Canis lupus familiaris: one gene and its partners. The main gene of each other region encodes a partner of the protein of the gene in region 5 in a complex. Links are inferred from orthologs where the notes say so. Each region holds a gene or a part of one and is shown on either strand. Other genes may lie near its edges.

Region 1 (3,368 bases), on a different chromosome or scaffold from region 5:
GTAACATAATGAAACACCACTGATTCTGAAGGTCACTCTGTGCACTAGCAGAAATTACCAAGGGTTTGGAGATTAGAGACTAGAGAAGAAATTAACCAAGTAGATAAAGCCTATAACTGGTTTGTGTTTGAAAAAAAAAAATACCTTCTACCTCTGAGGATACTAATAACAAGGTATTTCAATTTTTGCTCAGTTTAACATTCAAATCGAACACCAAATCTCCTGATTCTCTCTCTGGTGCCATTATTTCTTGTAATTCCATGTATTTGGCCTCTGTATTCCCCTGCCTAGAATACCCTTCCTATCTTTGACTAATCGCTGCTCACCTTTCAGCATACACTTGATGCCTCACCTGACAAAAGTAGAATGACTCTACAGTAGGTAAGTCTCATCACAGGAAAATTCTTTAGAATATAGATATCCACTCATTAATCATACTGAATCCTCCTTGCAATGAAGCTTGGCATCTAGTTTTTTCTGCAGCATTAACATTGCTTATTCACTGCCCTAAGGATAAAGTCTTCCTTGAACTTTTTTCCTTTTTTTTTTTTTTTTACAGCTTCCCCTAACCTTGTCAGGAACCCCATATGGGATTCTTTTTGTTCCCTCTAACGGAGGAAGCAAGGCAGTATCATAGAGCATCATAAAATTGATATTTTTGGTAAATTATCAAATGCCTTTTAACTTATGAAATTCAGAACTGATTTTTATTGATAAAGACTTAAAGGGCATTCAAAAAATCTTGCAAACATGCAAGTGAATATTTTTTAATAACAGAAGATCATGACAACCTTATAAAGTACCAAAAAAAATACACTGCACAGTAAAACAATTTCTGGTGTTTCTGAAAACACTTTTTCATTCTACATGAAATACAGTATGTGCTTCTGCTTGGATTTTACTCTCCATTTTGAGTACATTAGGAAAGCCAGATAATGCAGCCTATACTAAGAACAAAAATCCCTAGTATGAGTTTGTGATCATAGCCTCTGAAATTTCAAAAGTTGCCACAATATTTTTCCAGTCCTGTAAACTTAAAGATATAACTCCTTGTTTCCTGCCATGAGAACTGGGATCATTTCCCTCATCCACTTGGTTAATATTAATCGGCTCTAATATTGGCAGCCTGTCTTGGTCAAGCCTTATTCTCGCAAAACCATCCCTTATAATGAAAGAAACATAAAATATATTCTCCACAGTACGAGAAAAAGAGTTTGGATCAATCACAAACTCAAAATAGGACACAGGAGTATCAGGATACTTTCGAAAGTACGTTTGCAACAATCCCAAGATTCTCTCTACTTCTTTTTCTGTTGCTTCTTGATTGTTACTCAGGTCCAACTTCCTCAGCTTTGTAGGCATATCCCCACTTTCTTCTACTTTGTGAGCTTTTTTGTGGTGTTCAAGTCGGGGCTTTGGTGCAGAAGGTTTGGACTTGAATGAACCGAAAATAAAGTGAAATGTTTCAGCTTGCAATATCCAGGATGTTGCTTCCTTCTGTACTGTCTCCCAGAAGGAAAGAGCTATATTATCATCACAGCCACTCAGTTCACCAGGTTCATCATCTTCCATCCAGTTCAGACCCACAAATATAAACAGAAAGTCACAAAACGCTACTTGATTAAAAAAGCTCATATCAGAGTTTAGTTGCTTTGCTTTTTCTTTACCCAAATCAGAAGCCAAAACAAGAAACTGGGCATCGAGAGCTGCTTCTCTTGTCCGGCTCACTCCATCAAATAGGACATTGGCTTCTTCAAGAGCCTCGGTTAACGAGTCGCTGGCAGTGTTCACGATGTCATCACGGTTCTGCTGGACGTTATAGATGAGCTGCCGGTACTGCTTGCGGATCTTCCGGCATTTCTCCTCGTCATCCGCAAGCTCTAGGAGGCTGGGGTCTATGTCGGCCTCCCCACAGCTGAGGTCGTCAGAGCAGCCATCAGCCACTTCCACTTTCACGGGCTCCTCGCCGTCGTCCGCCTGTTTCACCGAGTGCACAGTAGCAGCGAGGGTCCCCGGGGGCGCCTCTCCTTCCTCTACCGCTCCGGCGCGGGAGCCTTGTTCCTCAGACATTTCGGGGCCGGCGCACTCACTGACACTCCGCTAACGGCCCTCGCGACGTTTGCGACAAGAGCGGAAATCGAAGGGGGTCGGTGGGAGCAGAGGAGGTCCGCCCATGCGCACTGGCCAGGCCCCGCGCCCCGCCCCCAGCCCGCCCCGCCCCTCGGCGCCGGGAGCCCAGACCCGTCGGTGGTTTCCGACCAGCCGACCGCCGCGGCAGGCAGCAGGCAGCGGGCAGCGGGCAGCGGGCAGCGTAGAACGCGAGCAATAATGGGCCCCCCTCCGCAGGCGAACAATACCCGCTCAAACGACAGCTTCATTTTAGCAATTACCGACAGTGTCCTCTAGCTTTCAAAGAAATACCTGAAAATCTTACGACATTTTAAAACTGAGGGGGAGGGGGAGGGACTAAAGGTCCTGCGCTTTGAAATACCTGCTGTCACATACTGCAGTTAGGTCAACCTATGGTTTTCGTTTTTACTCTGATTAAATGGTAGGGTCTTTAGAGTTTTCTTTTTTGTGTGTTTTTAAAAACTAAATCTGGCTTTGCTGTCAACTGCCCATAATGCTAAGCATAGTGAACTGCAGAAAGTCCACTACAAATAGGCCGAATTCTCAGGGTTCATTTGCAAGGTTTGGAATTTATTCATTATACAATTGCATATTGGGTTAATTACCCTACACTGGCCCTCAGAAGCCAGACCCCTTTCAACCAACAGAGGAGGCAGCTGCCAGGCAAGTGAGTGGCTGAGCTGGCGCTGGGGCAAAAGGTGGGGGAATGTCAGGCATTACCCAAGTGACCTTTGGGTCTCCACCACCCAAGGGTGGAAGAATAAAGTGGGTACAGTCTCTGCAAAGAGTGGTTTATTTGGAAGCTTACCAAAGGCTAAAAGCCACAGACTGTGGAGAGAAAGCTAAGCCCTGAAAGGTGAGCAAAGCTATTAAGATTTTAAACACAATCTGGGGCAGCGCCGGTGGCTCAGAGGTTTAGCGCCGCCTTCGATCCAGAGCGTGATCCTGGAGACCAGGATAAGTCCCGCGTCAGGCCCCCTGCATGGAGCCTGCTTCTCCCTCTGCCTGTGTCTCTGCCTCTCTCTCTCTGTCTCTCATGAATAAAAATAAATAAAATCTTAAAAAAAAAAAAAATCTGATGTAAGGGTATGAAAGTGAATGCTGCAAATCAAGTGACTACTTTGGAAAACTCACCCACTAGTTCACTGGGAATTCACATACAGTTGGGAGAAAAGGCTTAGCTCAATGGTTTCATAAGCAGCAAAGTATATGTAACAATAAAGAATATATTTTGTTGG
Region 2 (4,247 bases), on a different chromosome or scaffold from region 5:
AATATGTAGAATGGAATGCATACATTTCCTGAACATAAAATCCCACCTGTCTCAGAGTCTTTGGGAGAAAATTTAGAATATTTTAGTTTGAGGACCGATTGTCAGCACAAGCTGCCTTGGTGCAGCTCTTCAGAAGGGACAGTTCACTAGGGGGAAAGACGGTTTTTGCCGTTAATTCGTGCTTTTGTTTTCTGTCTTCACCTGGAGTGGGACCGCCTGCTCCCCCGGGGGAGGCCCCAGAGCCACACCGCCTGTCTGGAGCCCGGCGCCCCTCCTGCTCCGCCAACACACGCGCTCACTGCGTGCGTCGCTGGGGTGCGGGGTGGGGTGGGGTGGGTCCCAGGGAGCCTAGACGCCCCGGGAAGACGAGGCCCGGTGCGGGGGGGAGGGGGGGCCGGGGAGCCCAGGACACCCCGGGGAGACGCAGGCCTGGTGCGGGGCGGGGAGTCCAGGACACCCCGGGGAAGACGCAGGTCTGGTGTGTGGGGGGGGACGGGGAGTCCAGGACACCCCGGGGAGACGCAGGCCCGGGGCGGGGGGGGAGCCCAGGACACCCCGGGGAGACGCAGGCCTTGTGGGGGGGTCTCGGGGAGCCCAGGACACCCCGGGGAGACGCAGGCCCGGGGCGGGGGGGGAGCCCAGGACACCCCGGGGAGACGCAGGCCTTGTGGGGGGGTCTCGGGGAGCCCAGGACACCCCGGGGAGACGCAGGCCCGGGGCGGGGGGGGGGCCCAGGACACCCCGGGGAGACGCAGGCCTTGTGGGGGGGTCTCGGGGAGCCCAGGACACCCCGGGGAGACGCAGGCCCGGGGCGGGGGGGGGGCCCAGGACACCCCGGGGAGACGCAGGCCTTGTGGGGGGGGTCTCGGGGAGCCCAGGACACCCCGGGGAGACGCAGGCCCGGTGGGGGGGGGGCGGGGAGCCCAGGACACCCCGGGGAGACGCAGGCCTGGTGTGGGGGGGTCCCGGGGAGCCCAGGACACCCCGGGAAGACGCAGGCCTGGTGTGGGGGGGTCCCGGGGAGCCCAGGACACCCCGGGAAGACGCAGGTCTGGTGTGTGTGGGGGGGCGGGGAGCGCAGGACACCCCGGGGAGACGCAGGCCTGGTGTGGGGGGGGCCGGGGAGCCCAGGACACCCCGGGGAGATGCAGGTCTGGTGTGGGGGGGGGGCCGGGGAGCCCAGGACACCCCGGGGAGACGCAGGTCTGGTGTGGGGGGGGGCCGGGGAGCCCAGGACACCCCGGGGAGACGCAGGCCCGGGGCGGTGTCCCCCCCCTTCCCCCCCCCCCCCCGGCTGCCCCTCCCGCAGGGCGCCCCCGCCGGCCTCCCGCCAGAGGCGTCGCTGTGCGCTGGCGCCGGCCCGGGAGCCGCGTTCCGCGGGGAGCGGGCGCTCGCGCCGAGCCGGGCTTTCAGTTTCTGGCGCGAACTTCCGCCGCTCCGAAGTTGCTCGGCGCATCGGCGCGATGTCCGGGGACAGCAGCGGCCGCCGGCCCGAGGGCCAGGGCCGGGGCCGGGGCCGCGACCCGCACCGGGACCGCACCCGCTCCCGCTCCCGCTCGCGGTCCCCGCTGTCGCCCGTGTCCCGCCGCGGCGCCGCGCCCGAGCGCAGGGAGGCCCCGGAGCGCCCGAGCCTGGAGGACACGGAGCCGTCGGATTCCGGGGACGAGATGGTGGACCCCGCGAGCCTGGAGGCGGAGACCGACCACGGCCTGTGCCGCCAGATCCGCCATCAGTACCGGGCGCTCATCAACTCGGTCCAACGTAAGGCGGGGCGCGGGCGGGCGGGCAGGCGGGGACGGAGGCAGGCCCGGCCGCGCTCGGTCGGCTCGCGGGGTGGCCCCGTGCGGTGGCGGGCGGCGGGCTGCGCGACCTGGGCGGGGTGGGGGACGGGGACGGGGGACGGGGACTGTCGGAAACGCCGGCGCTCGGGCCGCACCGCACCGCACCGCACCCGCCCACTCCGAAACCCGGGGCCGCCCCGCCCGCCCTCTCGGGGCCTCCGGGCTCGCAAAGTTTGGGAGCCGCCGTTAGGAGCGCCCCTCCGCGGCTGCACGAGCCCGGGAGCCCCTGGGGTGAAGGCGATAGGCGGCCGGGCTCCTCTGAGGTTGCTGCGGCTTAGAGGTACGGCCAGCCCCCCCCCCCCCCCCCACCCCGGGCTCGAAGGATGTGCCGCGCTGGGAAGTGGACCCCGCCCCGCCACCCCGCCCCGCCGGGGACCCGGGGACCCGGGCTTGGCCGCGCTGCTGCAGGTGATCACGCCGGCAAGGACCTGTTCGCGCGTGATGAGCACGTTTCCCCAAACCTTGTTTTTTGTTTGTTTGGTTTTTTGTTTTTTTTTTTTTGCATAGAAAACCGGGAGGATATACTGAATGCCAGCGACAAATTAACAGAGGTCCTTGAAGAGGCCAACACTCTGTTTAATGGAGGTAATTCGTCACTTCATATATGGGAGCTCTTTATTATAAGTTTTAGGATGATTTTAGTTAGTTTTATATGACAGCCAAGTTATTGACACCGGACATTTCTCCCATAATAGAGTAGTGCCTTACTAGCGTTGGGAGCTTTCTCATTGTAGCGCTAATACTGTCTTCATTGCCCTTGGCCATCCCCTGAGGCGTCTCCCGAAGGCGTTAGGAGAAATTCCGGGGGGTACAGCCAGCAGCCTGTTTCAGCAAGCCCCCCAGGTGATCCTGTTGCATCCTCAAGGTTGAGAGCTTTGCATGTTTATCTTTCTGTCGCATCCCCTGCTGTATCCCCGGGATACATTTGTTGAATAGGAGAAGCAAAGAAAAAAGCTGCCCCCTCCCTCCCACATCCTGTTTCCTTTCCCATCCTCTTCCCAGTACAGGCCCACCTATAAGGGGGGCCGGGGGCAGGAGTCTACTAGTGGACCTGTGGGTTTCTACTGGGGCAAGAAAGAGAAATCTCAGAGCACTGAGCTCCAGACCATGGGGAAGGGGAAGTTAAAAAAAAAAAAAAAATCTTGGTTTGAGGGGCACCTGCGTGGCTCATCAGTTAAGCATCTGCTTTTGGCTCAGGTCATGATCCCAGGGTCCTGTCCTCGAGTCCCACATCAGGCTCCCTGCTCAGAGGGGTCTGCTTCTCCCTCTGTCCCTCCCCCTGCTCATGCATGCTCTCTCTTGCTCTCTCTCTCTCTCAAAATCTCAAGAAGAAACAATCTTGGTTTGAATTAAAAGTGTTTGGGACGCCAGCAGTCTATTTGATGACAGGACAGGTCAGGTCCCCCCTGATGTGAGCAGTGGGTCCCAGAGCCCTAGGGCAAGTCCCTGGACCCCTTTTCCAGGCCTGGACGTTCTGTGGCAGCAGAAAGACAGAATACAGACGAAGGGGCAGCGAGGAAGAGTCCGCAGAACGTGCACTGCCGACACCACAATTCTTCGCGTTCCTGGGACCAGGGTCCTTATTTCTAGTAATGTCCTAGTATGACTTAATGGCTTACCTGTTGCCCACCTTTTAATGTTTTTCTGTCTGCACGTTCTCAGATGAGTGTCTTTCTAGTTCTGGTCACAGCCTCCTGACTACTCCCCAGCTGGGTCTCCCAGGCTTGCTAAATCTCACTTCCAGAAGTGGGCATTTCCCTTCCACCAGGTTAAATCCCTCCTCTACCGTCCTTAGCTTTATCTTCTCTCCACTCCTGGTCCCCGGGTCAGTCTCCTCAAGGTTCCTCTTGACTCCTTCACTCCTTTGCTGATTTACTGTGCATCTTACTAGTTCTTGAGCCACACACCGCCTCCCCTTGGCTGATTCTGCTGTGCTGCGTGGGTCACCTCTTTCAGGCAGAGTTACTCAGCCGGGCTCTGGGAGTCTCCCAGCAAACACAGAATTCTAGATCCTTGGCATTCATTGTTTTAACTCAGTGGAGGCCTCCCAGCCACCTGTGACTGGGAAGTCTGTGTTTTCTGGGCGGAGCTGCGAGGCCAGTGGGCAAGGCCACGGGGAGCCCAGGAACGAGCTGCCAGCCTCTGTCTGCTGCCCTCTCTCACCCATGGTCACTTCCATAGCAGTGCTCCTGAAATAAAATGGGAGAAAAATGATGTATGTCAACAAAACCCGGAGTCAGCAAGTTCAGCAGCCCAAGGTGTGTTCGGAAAGTGGGGGACCCAAATGAAAAGGCCCCCAGGAGCCAGCCAGGCACAGATGTTTCTGTATTTGAGCTTTGCCGCTTTCCCCTCTAATTGGCTCCCTTTCCAGGTGTTTCCAGAGCACTTTACTCTCGCTGGCCCATC
Region 3 (4,198 bases), on a different chromosome or scaffold from region 5:
ATTCAAAATTCTACAAAACTATGCAGGACAAACAAAACATAGATGGTCTCCTCAGAGCTCTTCTTCTCTCTGACTGCCCCCAAGGCATTTTATAAAGTTCTTTATCAGTAAAGATAACTCACACTTACTGAGGCCTCACTATGTGCCAGGTACTTTTAAGTGCTTTGCATATATTAACTAATTTAATCTTACAGCAATCCTATCAACGGTGTGCTATTATGATCCCTGCTCTATGGATGAGCAAACTGAGGTGGAGAGCTTCAGTATTTTGTCCTGGGTCTCAGATATATTGAGTTTAAGAGGCAGCATCCGAATCCAGATGGTCCAGCTCCCAAGCTTAAGCTCTTTACCACACCAGGGCACCTGGGTGGCTCAGTGGTTGAGCCACCACTTCCGCTCAGGTCATGATCCCAGGGTCCTGGGATCGAGTCACACATCAGGGTCCCTGCAGGGAGCCTGCTTCTCCCTCTGCCTGTGTCTCTGTCTCTCTCTCTGTGTCTCTCATGAATAAATAAATAAAATCTTCATTAAAAAAATAAAAACTATCAGAGGCTACTGCTTTCCTCACTCAGCAGACAGGTAAACTGAGGTCCAGAGAAGTTGAGAAGTTGCTGCCCAAGATCACAGGTGTGCAACGGGCAAGTAAGTAGGGATTTGAAGCTATCATCACAGAGCTAGATGCTTGCACTTTCTGCTTGTTTCCCTGCTCGGCTGCATCCGGCTCCAGCTCCCAGGTCAGGCACTGGGATGCAAGCGTTTGTAAAACGAGTGCTCTCCAATAGCCCATTCACAACTTCATTGGCTTCTCCCAACAATCCCTAGGTAAGACGAGTAGCTGACAGCTAATCAGCACTTCCAGCGTGCGTCATTTCCTTGAAACCCCACGAACACCCTATTATTCCATGGCGACTCTGATCAGCCCCATGTACCAGAAGAAGAAACTGAGGCTGGGCGCAGCAGCTCAGTGACTTGCTCAAGATCTGGCAGAGCCAGGATTCCAGCTCAAGTTGCAGGACGGCGGAGCCCTCGCGGCCGACCCCGAGGCCACGGCGTCGTTTGCACGGATGGGGAAACTGAGGCCCAGGATGGGGCACTGGCTTGTGTCCGCGGAAACCGCGGCTGCTGGGGAGAAGGTCCCGTTGCAGGCGTGCCCCTTCCTCCTCCTAGGTCGCAGGCTGCAGTGGCGGGGCTGGAGGCAGAAGGTGGCCCGCCCGCGGCCCCGCCCGGTGAGGTCCGGAGAGTGGCGGGAGACGCGCGGAAGTCGCCGCCTACCCCCCCGGCTCCTCGGCGCCACGGCAACGGCGAGCAGGAAGTGCGTCACCCGGTGGGCGGGACGAGCGTGCGGCTGCCGCCAATAGGAGAGCCGCGCCCGCGCTGGCCCCGCCCCGGAGGGGGCGTGCCAAGCCCGCCTTTCGGCGTCGGCGGCGGGCGGCGGGGGCTGCGCCCGGGTGCGGCGGAGGGTGAGCCGCGCGCGCGCCCGCGAGGCTGTCGGGGATGGAAGAGGGCCGCGCAGAGAGGCGACGGAGGACGGAAGGTGGGCGTCAGGCCCCGGGGCGGCCCGCGTGGGTGCCGGAGCGCGGCTCCGGGGGCCCCGGGGGCTCCTCGTTGGCTGATGCCGACAGGCCCAGAGACGGGCAGGAAGGCCGGCGGGCTGGGACCTGGTGCCCCCGGCGCCCCCCGGCGCCCCCCGACGCCCCCCGACGCCCCCCGACGCCGGCGGGTCGTAGCGTTGGGTGCTGACCTCGGTTTGACCCCGCTCTTGGGGGACGGAAGCAAAAGACGGATGCCTGCACCGAATACGGAAAATACGGCCTTGGAGGAGCACCTGGCGGTTACCTGCGCCCTGCTCTCGGTCGCGGTCCTGGGACCCGTAGAGAGCCCCGAGGCTAGACGTGTGCAGATGCCCCGGTGTTTCGGATTTTTCCAAAGGGATATGATATATTCCTATTCCCCATGGTCTTTGGGGTCCGGGCTGCATCTTGTCACCACATACATGAATCCGTGCACATTTGCCCCCAAAGGAGGTCAAGAATGGCCCAGAGATAGCCTCACCTTATAGGTCAGATCAGGTCTTCAGGCTTCCAAGGTTGGAGGCCTTTAGATCTTCCTTAGATCGGAGAATTGTAGGTGAGGAGTCCCTGCAGGTGAGGGATCTCGATTTGCTTGTTCCCTGCTATGCCTCGCTTACCTGGGGTGTGTGTGTGTGTGTGTGTGTGTGTGGCGGTGGCGGTGCTAGGGTTCCTGAACTCTGCTTTTGCATCGCCACCCTCCTGCCCATCACTGACTCCGTGCATCTCCTGGTGCCTCCAGTCTTGCCGCATCTGTAAAATGGGGGCATGGATGTGACGATCCTCAGGTTCCCAGGAGGATGGAATGAGAGCGCAGTGAAGCACTCCCCCCTCTGCCTCGCGTGTGGCTCACGTGGTGGTGCTTGAGATCTGCTTATTGCACAGACATTTCTGTTTTTAAATTTTTTTTTTTTTTGGAGGGGTAGGCAGTTCATGGTTAATCTCTACCACCCAGTCCATCTTCAGACAATCGCCTTCTGTGTGTAAACAGGCCTATCTGTACTGTGTCCCTCTCCTTTTTTTTTTTTTTTTTCCCCAAGATTATTGACTTCTGTGCTGTTCCAGAGTTGGTCCTCCCCACTGCCAAGATTTTTAATTTATTTATTCAGGAGAGACACAGATAGAAAGAGAGGCAGAGGGCAGCCCCGATGGCTCAGCGGTTTAGCACGGCCTTTGGCCCAGGGCGTGATCCTGGAGACCTCAGATCGAGTCCCACATCGAGCTCCTTGCATGGAGCCTGCTTCTCCCTCTGCTTGTATCTCTGCCTCTCTCTCTCTCTATGTCTCTCATGCATAAATAAATAAAATCTTAAAGAAAGAGGCAGAGACACAGGCAGAGGGAGAAGCAGGCTTCCCAAGGGGACCCTGATGCAGGACTCGATCCTGGGACCCCACGATCACACCCTGAGCCAAAGGCAGACACACTCAACCAGTGAGCTACCCAGGCGTCCCTAGAGTTGGTCCTTTTTAGCATTTATTTTGGGTGTTACGTAACATATTTACATCATTTCTTCTTTTTTTAATCAAGATATGTAACATACCTATAAAAATGTTTGCAAATGTAAGTTCGAAGAATAAAAATAAGGAACACACGTATACTCCCCATCAGGTTAAGAAATAGAACATTATCTTATGCTGAAAGCTCCCGCTGAATCCTTTCTTCCCCTCACTAAAGATGAGCACTGCCCGGAGTACTGTTACTCATTCCCTTGTTTTTCCTTTATGGGTTTTACTATGTATCTGTAAAATGACTACTGTATATGGTTTCGTTAGGTTTTGAATTTGATGGAGAATCCTCACATATAATTAGTGTGACTTTACTTTTGCACATAACATTCCCGTATGTGAGATGCATCCACGGTGATTTGAGTAGCTCTATGTCACCTTCATTGCTTCGTCGCTATTTGGAATTCCATGGTTTGAATATAAATGCTTTGCTAGGCATTTTTCAACTGGTTGCCATTGCTACTGTTGCCAGATTTTTGCTACCACATGGTGCTTTTATACACATATTTCCTTGGGCAGATGTGGGTAGTTTCTGTAAGTGAAAAATCAAATACCGCATTTCTGGGCATACCCAAATTCGCCAGTAAAATCAAATTGTCTGACACGGTTCATAAGAGTTTACACTCCACCAGCAGTGGATGAGTTTTAGCCCAGGCCATTCTTCAGAATCTTTGCCTTATCTGGTGATGAGTAAGAGATTTGTCACTGTAGTTTGGATACTCGTTAGCCTGATGACCTCAAGACTGTGTATCTTTTAATATATTTATTAATCATTTGTATATCTTCTTTGGAAATTTCAGTTGCTTATTTTTTTTTTTTTGCAGTTGTCTTCCTCTAACTGATTTGTAGGAGTTCATTACATATTCTGAGTATGAATCTTTCATGGGTTCAGCATGTTTCAGATGCTTCCCAGTTTGTAGCTTGTCTTCTCTCTCTCTCTCTCCTTCCCCCCCGCTCAAGTATTTTCAGTGAACAGAGGTTCTTAATTTTAAAAGTTGAATTTACCTGTATATTCCTTTATGGTTTGTACTTTTTGCGTTATTATTATTATTATATCTTTTAAAGAAACCCCTGCCTTTGGCTTATAAAAGCTATCTGCCTATATTGTTGTCCAAAAGTTTTGTA
Region 4 (4,084 bases), on a different chromosome or scaffold from region 5:
ACCATCATTCATCCCACTGCCCAAATCAGAAACCGAGACGTTAAGTTTCTCATCATCTTTGATTCTACCATCTTCTTCACCTCTGCCCCCCATCATCCGGTCACCAAGTCATGCTGGTAGACAAGCAATTCTGAGATCCCTCATTAAGAAAAAAGAAAGAAAAAGAAAAAATAGGACTCTTGCATCATCTTTTCTTACTTTCTATCTCCTTCCTTGTTCTCTAATCTGACCTCTAAATTCTACCTACCATGAACTTCTTCCTGACTATCTTACACTTATTTATTCTCCCAAGCCTTCGCACATGCTATTTTCCATCAGCAGAAATCTCTCCCTCCATTCCCAAGCCCCACTGGACTTGGGTTTGCTCCTAGGAATTCTTCTAGGAAGTACTCTTTCGGGCCACTTTGGTTCTCCAGGCCCACCCTTCCTCCCTCATTCTTAAAACTCAGCATCCTCTCATTGTGAGAATCAACAGGCTAGCTCTGCACTTTGCAGCCACCTCTTCCTTCTCCTCTTCATATCCAAGCTTTATTTCCTCACATTCATTCATTCTTCTAGGACTTGCAAAATGTTGCGCTTACCTGGCTTCAAAGGGTAAGAGAATTCCTAATTGCTGAATGCAGTGAGCTCTTTTCAGTTCCACTATCTTGTATCAGATGCCAAAGTAGCAGATGATATTTTTGAAACACTTTTCCCCCTAGGCTCCTGAGAGAATACTCTCTCCCACGATTCTCCTCTTACCTCCCTGAACAGTTCCCTTCTCCATCCAAACAACTCCTCTGCTCACTCTTACGTGTTGGCATTCCTCCAGGACACCACAGTTGGCCTTCTATTCCAATTTATATTTCCTTTTGGGCAACCTCAACTGTTTCTGAAACTTCAAGAATCACCTCTATGCATGACTTCCAAATCTCTCACCTGTTTGCATTTTCCTGACCCTAAAATTACTGCTCATGGAAGACCTTTTTTAGACACCCCCATGGGAAACTTCAAATCACAGGATCCAGAAAGTAATTATCATTATCCTCCCCAAATTGCTCCGTCTTCTGAAAAGGGCCACATCCGACCAAGAGCCAAGACAGAGACTTGAGAAAAATACTGTCTTACTCTCTTACCCTCAGGCCTCCCGATCTGTAGCCAGATCCTGCCAAATCTCTTTTCCACTACTTCCCACTGTTACTCCTAGGTTCGAAAACCAATCATGTCTTACCGTTGTAAAAGTCTTCTTTGCTTCCGATCTTGGACCCTTTCTAAATCATCTTTCACACTGCTTCCAGAGTAATATAAATCACATGCCATTCCCAGGTTGCCAACAGGATTATTGGAATTCCTCAGCATAGAGAACAAAGATCCTCAAGAGCTGCCTACCTCGTTAGTATCATCTTTGTCCACATCGTCACTCTCACTCACACCCTACGTGCTAACCATACTAGAACTTCCTAAATACAGCTGTTTCAGGCGGTTTCTTCTGAAACAGTGCTCTTCCCTTAAAACTTTCATAACCTCCTGTACAAAGCCCTTTCTCACAGTTATGAATAAAATTAACCACTTCAGCCTCTGTGCCCACACAGCACCCTGATACATACATATCTATAAATACATACACGCATTATCATGGTAGGTGACTCATTTGATTATCTTTCCTGATCTAGATTCATATAGCAATTCAGCTACTTATTGGCAGTATAACATGGGTAAATTAACCTGACATCATCTCATCAGTGAAGATGAAGAGTTGTTAGGAGAGAATCAGAGTATTATGTAAATAAAGCATCTACTTCTGTACCTGGCACATGATAGATACGGGGGCGCGGGAACCACAACGTTGGTAGTTACAATTCTGTTATCCTAAGCCCCCATGTGCAAGCTTTAAAAAAAAAAATAGTGGGGGGGGGGGGGGGAGTGGGAAGACCTTGACCAACAAAACTGTAAGGTGCTAGAGAGATACACAGTATCTGTGTTAAAAGATATTTACTAAATTCTCAAACGATTATTACGATTCTTAGTTGCCTGGAGAGAAAGAAAAGGAACGGGGCGCGGGGGGGGGGGGGGGCGGGGGAGCTGGATGCTGAGGGCTCCGGGGTCTGCTAGGAGGCCCAACAATCCAGAGCGAGGCTTATTAGTTTGCTTGTACGTTTCCACCTCCAGGAGGAACCACCTTCACCATCTTGTCCACCTGGCGACCGCTGACTCCTCCCGAGTCGGCCACAGCATCACCGCTGCTCCGATTTCACCGTGGCTTCCTCGGAGTTGCCAGCGCCCCTACTTCTGGGATTCGCACATCACGTCCTCCCTCCGTAGGCCGTGACTCCGGCCGACACAAATCCGGGCCCTACCCCGTCCGCTGCCCGCCCTGTGACGCCTTCAGAAAACGCTGGCTGAATGAATAAAAAAAAAAAAAAAAAAAAAAAAAAAGCCCACCCCGCATCGCAGCAGACGCACGCCGACCGCCCGCGGGCCCGCTCGCCTCCCCGCCGCGCCCCGCCCCGCCCCGCGGCGCCGCGGCCTCCGGACACTCACAAGAAGTTCTCCATCACGATGCGGACGATAGAGCCCTCCACGAAAGGCCTGGACGATGGCAGCGGCGGCGGCGGCGGCGGCGCCGGCGGGGCCGAGCTCTTCCTCTTGCTCGGGACCTCCGACGAGGGATCCCTCGGGAGAGCTCTCTTGGAGGCCACGGTGCCTGGGGCCGACGACTTCCTACTCGGAGTCGCCATCCCGGCGTCCCCGCCGCCCCGCGGGCGCTTCCGTTCCCACCGACCTGCGGCCCCGGCGCCCCGGCGCCCGGCTCCCGCGCGAACTGCCCGGCCCGCGAGCCCGCCCCGCGCCTGCGCAGTCCGGCCCGGCGGCGTCAGCGGGCGGCCCCGCCCCTCGGCGCCGGGCCTCGGGGGCGGGCGGCAGCGAGGACGCGGGCCGGGGCGGCGGCCCCCCCAGCGCGCGGCTACCCGGCCGTGCCCCCGAAGCGCTCGTGCATCTTTCACGGTTCGGGCTTTTTGGCTCAGAAAAAGATGTCAGTTGCATTTAGTACTCGGAAAGCCCTCTGAGCGCTCGGAGGAAGCCGGCCCGCGAAGAGGACGGAGGGAGACGTTCGGCGGCCGCGGGCGGACCCTGCCCGCGCGCACCCGGACTCGCCTGCTTCGGGCTCTTCCGCGTCTCACCCTGCTCCCCGCTGGGCCTCATGCAGGTCCCCGTGTCCAAAAAAGAAAACTCCAGCGGTGGCCCTGCGCCCGCGTCTCCCCTGAGCCGCGTGGTGCCAGGTACCCGGGGCGCTCCAACTTGCAAACGGCCTCCCTGCAAGCAGACACTCCGCCCCCTCGCTCCCTCCTTCCCTTTTAAGGCTTCCTGCCCCGAGGTTTCTAGAAACCCAGGAGCTCGAGCGCAGCGGCTTCAGTGGGTCGCGCTTCCACTTAAACCTGCGCACCTGCCGCTGGTTAACCTCGTTGAACGGGAGGCGCACCGAAGCTGCCGCAGCGCCTCGACCACTCAGCGTCTCGCTAATGTCTAACCCGCCAGAGGCCGGAGCTGCGGCTCTGAGGGACCCCAGCCAGGGATGCCTGCCTGCGCCCCTGCCCGGTGTGGGAGACAGAAAAAGAACCAGTGGAGCAGGTTCAGGATCATTCCAGGCTGTGCTAGGTGCTGTGAAACAGAACTCAGGTGATGGGGGGAGGCACAGAAGGTTGTCAGAAGAGGTGGTGTTTGAGTGGAACCCTAAATGCTAACAAAAAAAAAAAAAAAAAAGTATTCCAGGCAAGGACAAAAGCTCTGGAGTGGGAACAGGGGGACTTCTGAGGAACAAAGGGAAGGCCTGTGTGGCTGCGGTGAGTGATCACCTGACCATTGCACCTGACCAGAGCCTTGCCCACCATAGCTGAGCTGATTTTTATTTTTAAGGCTTTGGGAAGCCCATTGGATGGTTGTAAGCAAGAGAGAGACGTGATCTGATTCAAGTTTTTAAATAATCCCTCATTACTGTTTGGAGAGGGTCAAGCCTGGAACCGGGGAAGCCGTTTGAAAAACAGGTGCAGTAGAACCCTCATTCCTGACTCGAGGACCAGTGCTCCTTCCCCAGGTGCCTGGCGCTTCC
Region 5 (4,094 bases):
CTTGCCTGATCTTAGGAGTCAGTTGAAATGCTTATTGAAAATATAGATGTATATGTAAGTGCTATCTCAGACCTACTAACCCGAGTCCCTAGTGGACACTCCGGGGAAACCTGTATTTTTATGAATCGCTGCAGAGGATTCTCAGAATCAAACAAGTATGGAGAACACTGAGATAACTGCATCTCCTCCCAAAATCATTGTTGAGAGCCTAACCCCCATTGTGTGGTACTTGGACCCGAGATCTTTGGGAGATAATTAGGTTTAGATGTCCTGAAGGTAGAGCCTAATTTCAGGAAGGAATTAATGTCCTTATTAGAAGAGGAAGAGACACCTGAGCTCGCTCTCTCCACCCAATAAGGACATAGTAAGAAGGGGGCTGATGAGAGCGAAAAAGAGGCCTCTTACCAGTACCCAGCCATGCCGGCACCCTAATCTCTTGACTTCTGGTCTCCAAAACTGAAAATAAATTTCTGTTCTTTAAGCCACCCGTCTATGCTATTTTTTAATAGCACCTGGAATGGACAAAACACACAACGTATATAAGGAATAATACAATACAGGATAAGTGATGAGTGTCTCCCACATAGTAGCTATCCTTATTATGTGCATGCAAAATTCACATTACTCTAATGAAACTCTACGCTTGCAGAGAGCCGAGGGAAACTTCCTTCTGTAATTCTGGAGTATTTTCAGGAAAAAGATTTGGATTGAGAAGCAAAGAGAATGGATGGAGTAGACACACTCTTCTCTCTCTCTCTCCCGCTAAGAACAGCTAAGTACATAATTCACAGGACAACCCCACCCCCCTAAAGAATCATCTGGCCCAAAATGTCCATCATGAAACCTTGGTTTAAATCAACCTCCTCTTGAAGCCTTCCCTAGTAACAATAATCTCTTTGTTCCCTGTACCTACAGTTTCCAAGAAAGATTAAAGCAAGGTTTCCTGGCAACCCAGGTGGCCCAGCGGTTTAGCACCTGCCTTCAGCCCAGGGCACGATCCTAGAGACCCGGGATCGAGTCTCACATCAGGCTCCTTGCATGGAGCCTGCTTCTCCCTCTGCCTATGTCTCTGCCTCTCTCTGTGTCTCTCATAACTAAATAAAAATCATATATATATATATATATATATATATATATATATATATATATATATTTCCTGAGTTTTTCCCACGCATGTTATTTTCCCTTCCCATACCGAGCCTTGTCTTAGGCCATTCAGGCTGCTGCAACAAAATACCAGATTGGGTAGCTTACAAACAACAGAAATTGATGCCTGGAGTTCTGGAGGCTGGGAAGTCCAAGGTCAAGGTGCCAGCAGGGTCCCATTCCGGTGAAGGCCCTCTACCTCGTTCAGAGCCCCCAAGCCCTCTCACCCTTTGTCATCACAAGGTAGAAGGTGCAAGGGAGGGAGCTCTCAGGAGCCTTTTACAAAGGCACTAATTCCATTCATGAGGGCTCCACCCTCATCACCTAAGCACCTCTCAAAGGCCCCACTTCCTAATACTATATCACAACGGCATTAGGATTTCAACATATGAAGGGGCGGGGGGGGGGGCGCAGAAAAACATAAATATTCAGACCACAGCAAGTCTGATTCACTTCAGGCAGGGTCACTTATCAGCTGACTTGAAAATATTGTTTCCCCCGTCTCCTCTCTCCTTACAGCAGGGTGGTAGACCCAGAGCTAACAATTTATAGACACTCTGCCAAACGTCCTTCAAACCACGGGGCCTATGCAAGTCCAGCCAGAGCTACAGCTCCTTTTTCAAGATGCAAGGGTACGTCTTTCCTTATGAAACCGTCTCTTACCTATACGAGCAATTGCTCGTTCCCTCCCTCATGCTACTACTATGCCCCCTCTCCCTCACACACACACTTCTTCGTAAAACTCATCACAGCTATTTGTTCACCCGGCAGCCACTCCTTCACCCCGGGAGCAGCTTAAACCACAACCCTGACACGTTCTGCTAGCACATAAGACAGCTCCTCGTACGAAAGAGGCGATCAAAGAACGGAGGAGAGTGACGACAGGAACAGCAACCGCCCTTTCTTGGTTTTTTTTCTTTTTTTTTTTTTTTAAGATTCTACTTCTTTATTCATGAGAGACACAGCGAGAGAGGCAGAGACCCAGGCAGAGGGAGAAGCGGGTCCCACGCAGGGGGCCCGACCTGGGACTCGACCCCGGGTCTCCAGGATCACACCCTGGGCTGCAGGCGGCGCTAAACCGCTGGGCCCCCCGGGGATCCCCAGCAACCACCCTTTCGAGGCCCCCCACAGTGCGCCACAAACTGATGCCCTTGGCGCTACTTTCTCAGGACCGCTGATGCTCACAACCAATTATAGAAAAGGAAACTGAGGCCCAGGGAGCTCATTTAGACCTCCCGTCCGAGGCCCTGCTTTTAAAGACAGCTCAAAGCACACGAATCTGCAGCAGGAACCGTGAACTTTTCCCCCACTCGGGTGGGAGGATGGAGAGACGGCGCCTCGGGGAGGGGGCAGCCTGCCCAAGCCTCCGTGCTCGGCGTGCAGTGCCAGGACCACAGCCCGGGCGGACAGACCCCAGCTCAGGGCACCCGCGGGGCGCCCCACGGGGAGGCGACACCTGTCGCCACCCTCGCCCTCGCCACCCCCCGCTTCCGCCTTACCTGGAGGCGCGCCCCGGCTCGGTCTGGCAGCACCCGGACCGCCCACGCCCGGACCCCAACTCCTTCCTCAACTCCCTTCCCCAGTCGCTGAAACCGCGAGCGCGGGCTCGAGCGTCATCAGCCGTCGCCGGCCAGCGGTCACATGACGCCCCGCCCTGCTCCCGCCCCCTCTGGTCATGTGACTGCCACGGGCGCCACAGGCGGAAGCCGGGGTCCCGCCGGCTGGCGATCGGGGGCTGCGGCCGGAGGGGTCGTCGTGCGGGGAGGGGAGGCCGGGCACCCGCGTGCCGACCCCGCCCGCGCTCGCCGGCCCCGCACGTGCGCCCTGGCGCGGCCGGGGTGACAGGTGAGTGAGGGCGGGATGCGCTCTCCGGGGCCCCGGCCCCGCGCAGGGCCGCGCGGGCGGAAGGTGCGGCGTGGACGGGGAGTCGGGCTTGGAGGGCTGAGGGCCTGCCTGGGGCGGCGCTGCAGCCGCAGCTCTCCCACCTCCTCTCGGGGCCGTGGTTCTCCCCGCCGCGGACACTCAGCTGTTGGCCCGCCTCTGACCCCTCCAAGTTTCCAGGAGCCGCGCCGGGCGGGCGGCGTTAATCCTCCCCCTGCTCTCGAGAACACGGGGTGCTCGGCGAGGGCTTTGAGAGTCTGCTAGACCCGGGTTTGAATTCTAGCTCCGCCGTGGGTTCCGAACTTGAGCCAGTCATTGCTCCTCTCTGCACCCAAGTTCCCTCACCTGCGGCACGCCGGTGCCGAAGTTCTTTGCATTTTGGAAAATAGTTCCGAGGGTCCCGACAGGTTTGTGGCGCACGGTTGAAAACATAAATCAAGTCACGGTGCCGGTAATGGAGCCGGATTCCAAGTGCACGGAGTTTCCTCCAACAGAGATACTTGGGGTCGTGACAAGGGAGGGAGAGGTCTTCCTGCTTCTGCGCATAACCAGGAACGCCTCCCGTTTTTCGTTCTCCCGTCTTCCAGGATTTATGAATGGGGCTAGAGAGATCAGGCCCATTTCCGAACTTGCCTGGAAGAGATTTGTCACTTTTATTTTGATCAACAACCATTCTGTTTTGTTCCCGGTCATGGATAGGTGGAGCCCAGTGCTTCCTTCTTTATGGAACCGAGGTTTTATGAAAGGATTAAAAAAAAAAAAAAAGACTTCTTTTGTCCTCTGAGTAGGGCACACAGGTTTGTGTGGTTTGTCCCAGGACAATTTAATTTCCTTCAGAATTCAGTTCTGTACCTGTTGGGTAATTGGTATGATGGTGATGCCATGCTGCGTTCTTGAAACACGTTGTTGTCTTTTGTCTGGGGCTACCTTCCAAACTGAAAACCACAGTTCCATGCCAAAATTCTTAAAAATAAGTTAACAGCTGCTTTTTGGGGTGCCTTGTAAAGGAAGAGTAGGAAATCGAGTGGGATCTCTGGTTTCATTTCATGCCAGATAGTAATACAGCC

What was found. Proteins that work in one complex are often made in the same cells at the same time.
Region 1: NSMCE2 (region 5) and EID3 share a complex: the UniProt entries of both Homo sapiens proteins name them as parts of the SMC5-SMC6 complex. The link is inferred for Canis lupus familiaris from reciprocal best matches to the Homo sapiens genes NSMCE2 and EID3.
Region 2: NSMCE2 (region 5) and NSMCE4A share a complex: the UniProt entries of both Homo sapiens proteins name them as parts of the SMC5-SMC6 complex. The link is inferred for Canis lupus familiaris from reciprocal best matches to the Homo sapiens genes NSMCE2 and NSMCE4A.
Region 3: NSMCE2 (region 5) and NSMCE1 share a complex: the UniProt entries of both Homo sapiens proteins name them as parts of the SMC5-SMC6 complex. The link is inferred for Canis lupus familiaris from reciprocal best matches to the Homo sapiens genes NSMCE2 and NSMCE1.
Region 4: NSMCE2 (region 5) and SMC5 share a complex: the UniProt entries of both Homo sapiens proteins name them as parts of the SMC5-SMC6 complex. The link is inferred for Canis lupus familiaris from reciprocal best matches to the Homo sapiens genes NSMCE2 and SMC5.

What each region holds. Positions count from the first base shown.
Region 1 is NC_049231.1:35,011,942-35,015,309, forward strand, and holds EID3 (EP300-interacting inhibitor of differentiation 3), read right to left. Parts: upstream 2,188-3,368; 5' UTR 2,071-2,187; coding exon 964-2,070; 3' UTR 501-963; downstream 1-500. UniProt on the Homo sapiens protein: Tissue-specific component of the SMC5-SMC6 complex, a complex involved in repair of DNA double-strand breaks by homologous recombination.
Region 2 is NC_049249.1:32,015,183-32,019,429, reverse strand, and holds the start of NSMCE4A (non-structural maintenance of chromosomes element 4 homolog A), read left to right. Parts: upstream 1-1,447; 5' UTR 1,448-1,463; coding exon 1,464-1,761; intron 1,762-2,348; coding exon 2,349-2,426; intron 2,427-4,247. UniProt on the Homo sapiens protein: Component of the SMC5-SMC6 complex, a complex involved in DNA double-strand breaks by homologous recombination. The complex may promote sister chromatid homologous recombination by recruiting the SMC1-SMC3 cohesin complex to double-strand breaks.
Region 3 is NC_049227.1:19,529,812-19,534,009, forward strand, and holds the start of NSMCE1 (non-structural maintenance of chromosomes element 1 homolog), read left to right. Parts: upstream 1-1,398; 5' UTR 1,399-1,494; coding exon 1,495-1,534; intron 1,535-4,198. UniProt on the Homo sapiens protein: RING-type zinc finger-containing E3 ubiquitin ligase that assembles with melanoma antigen protein (MAGE) to catalyze the direct transfer of ubiquitin from E2 ubiquitin-conjugating enzyme to a specific substrate.
Region 4 is NC_049222.1:87,952,820-87,956,903, forward strand, and holds the start of SMC5 (structural maintenance of chromosomes protein 5), read right to left. Parts: upstream 2,801-4,084; 5' UTR 2,718-2,800; coding exon 2,521-2,717; intron 1,916-2,520; exon of another isoform or gene 1,787-1,915; intron 1-1,786. UniProt on the Homo sapiens protein: Core component of the SMC5-SMC6 complex, a complex involved in repair of DNA double-strand breaks by homologous recombination.
Region 5 is NC_049234.1:23,491,666-23,495,759, reverse strand, and holds the start of NSMCE2 (E3 SUMO-protein ligase NSE2), read right to left. Parts: upstream 2,801-4,094; 5' UTR 2,646-2,800; intron 1-2,645. UniProt on the Homo sapiens protein: E3 SUMO-protein ligase component of the SMC5-SMC6 complex, a complex involved in DNA double-strand break repair by homologous recombination. Is not be required for the stability of the complex.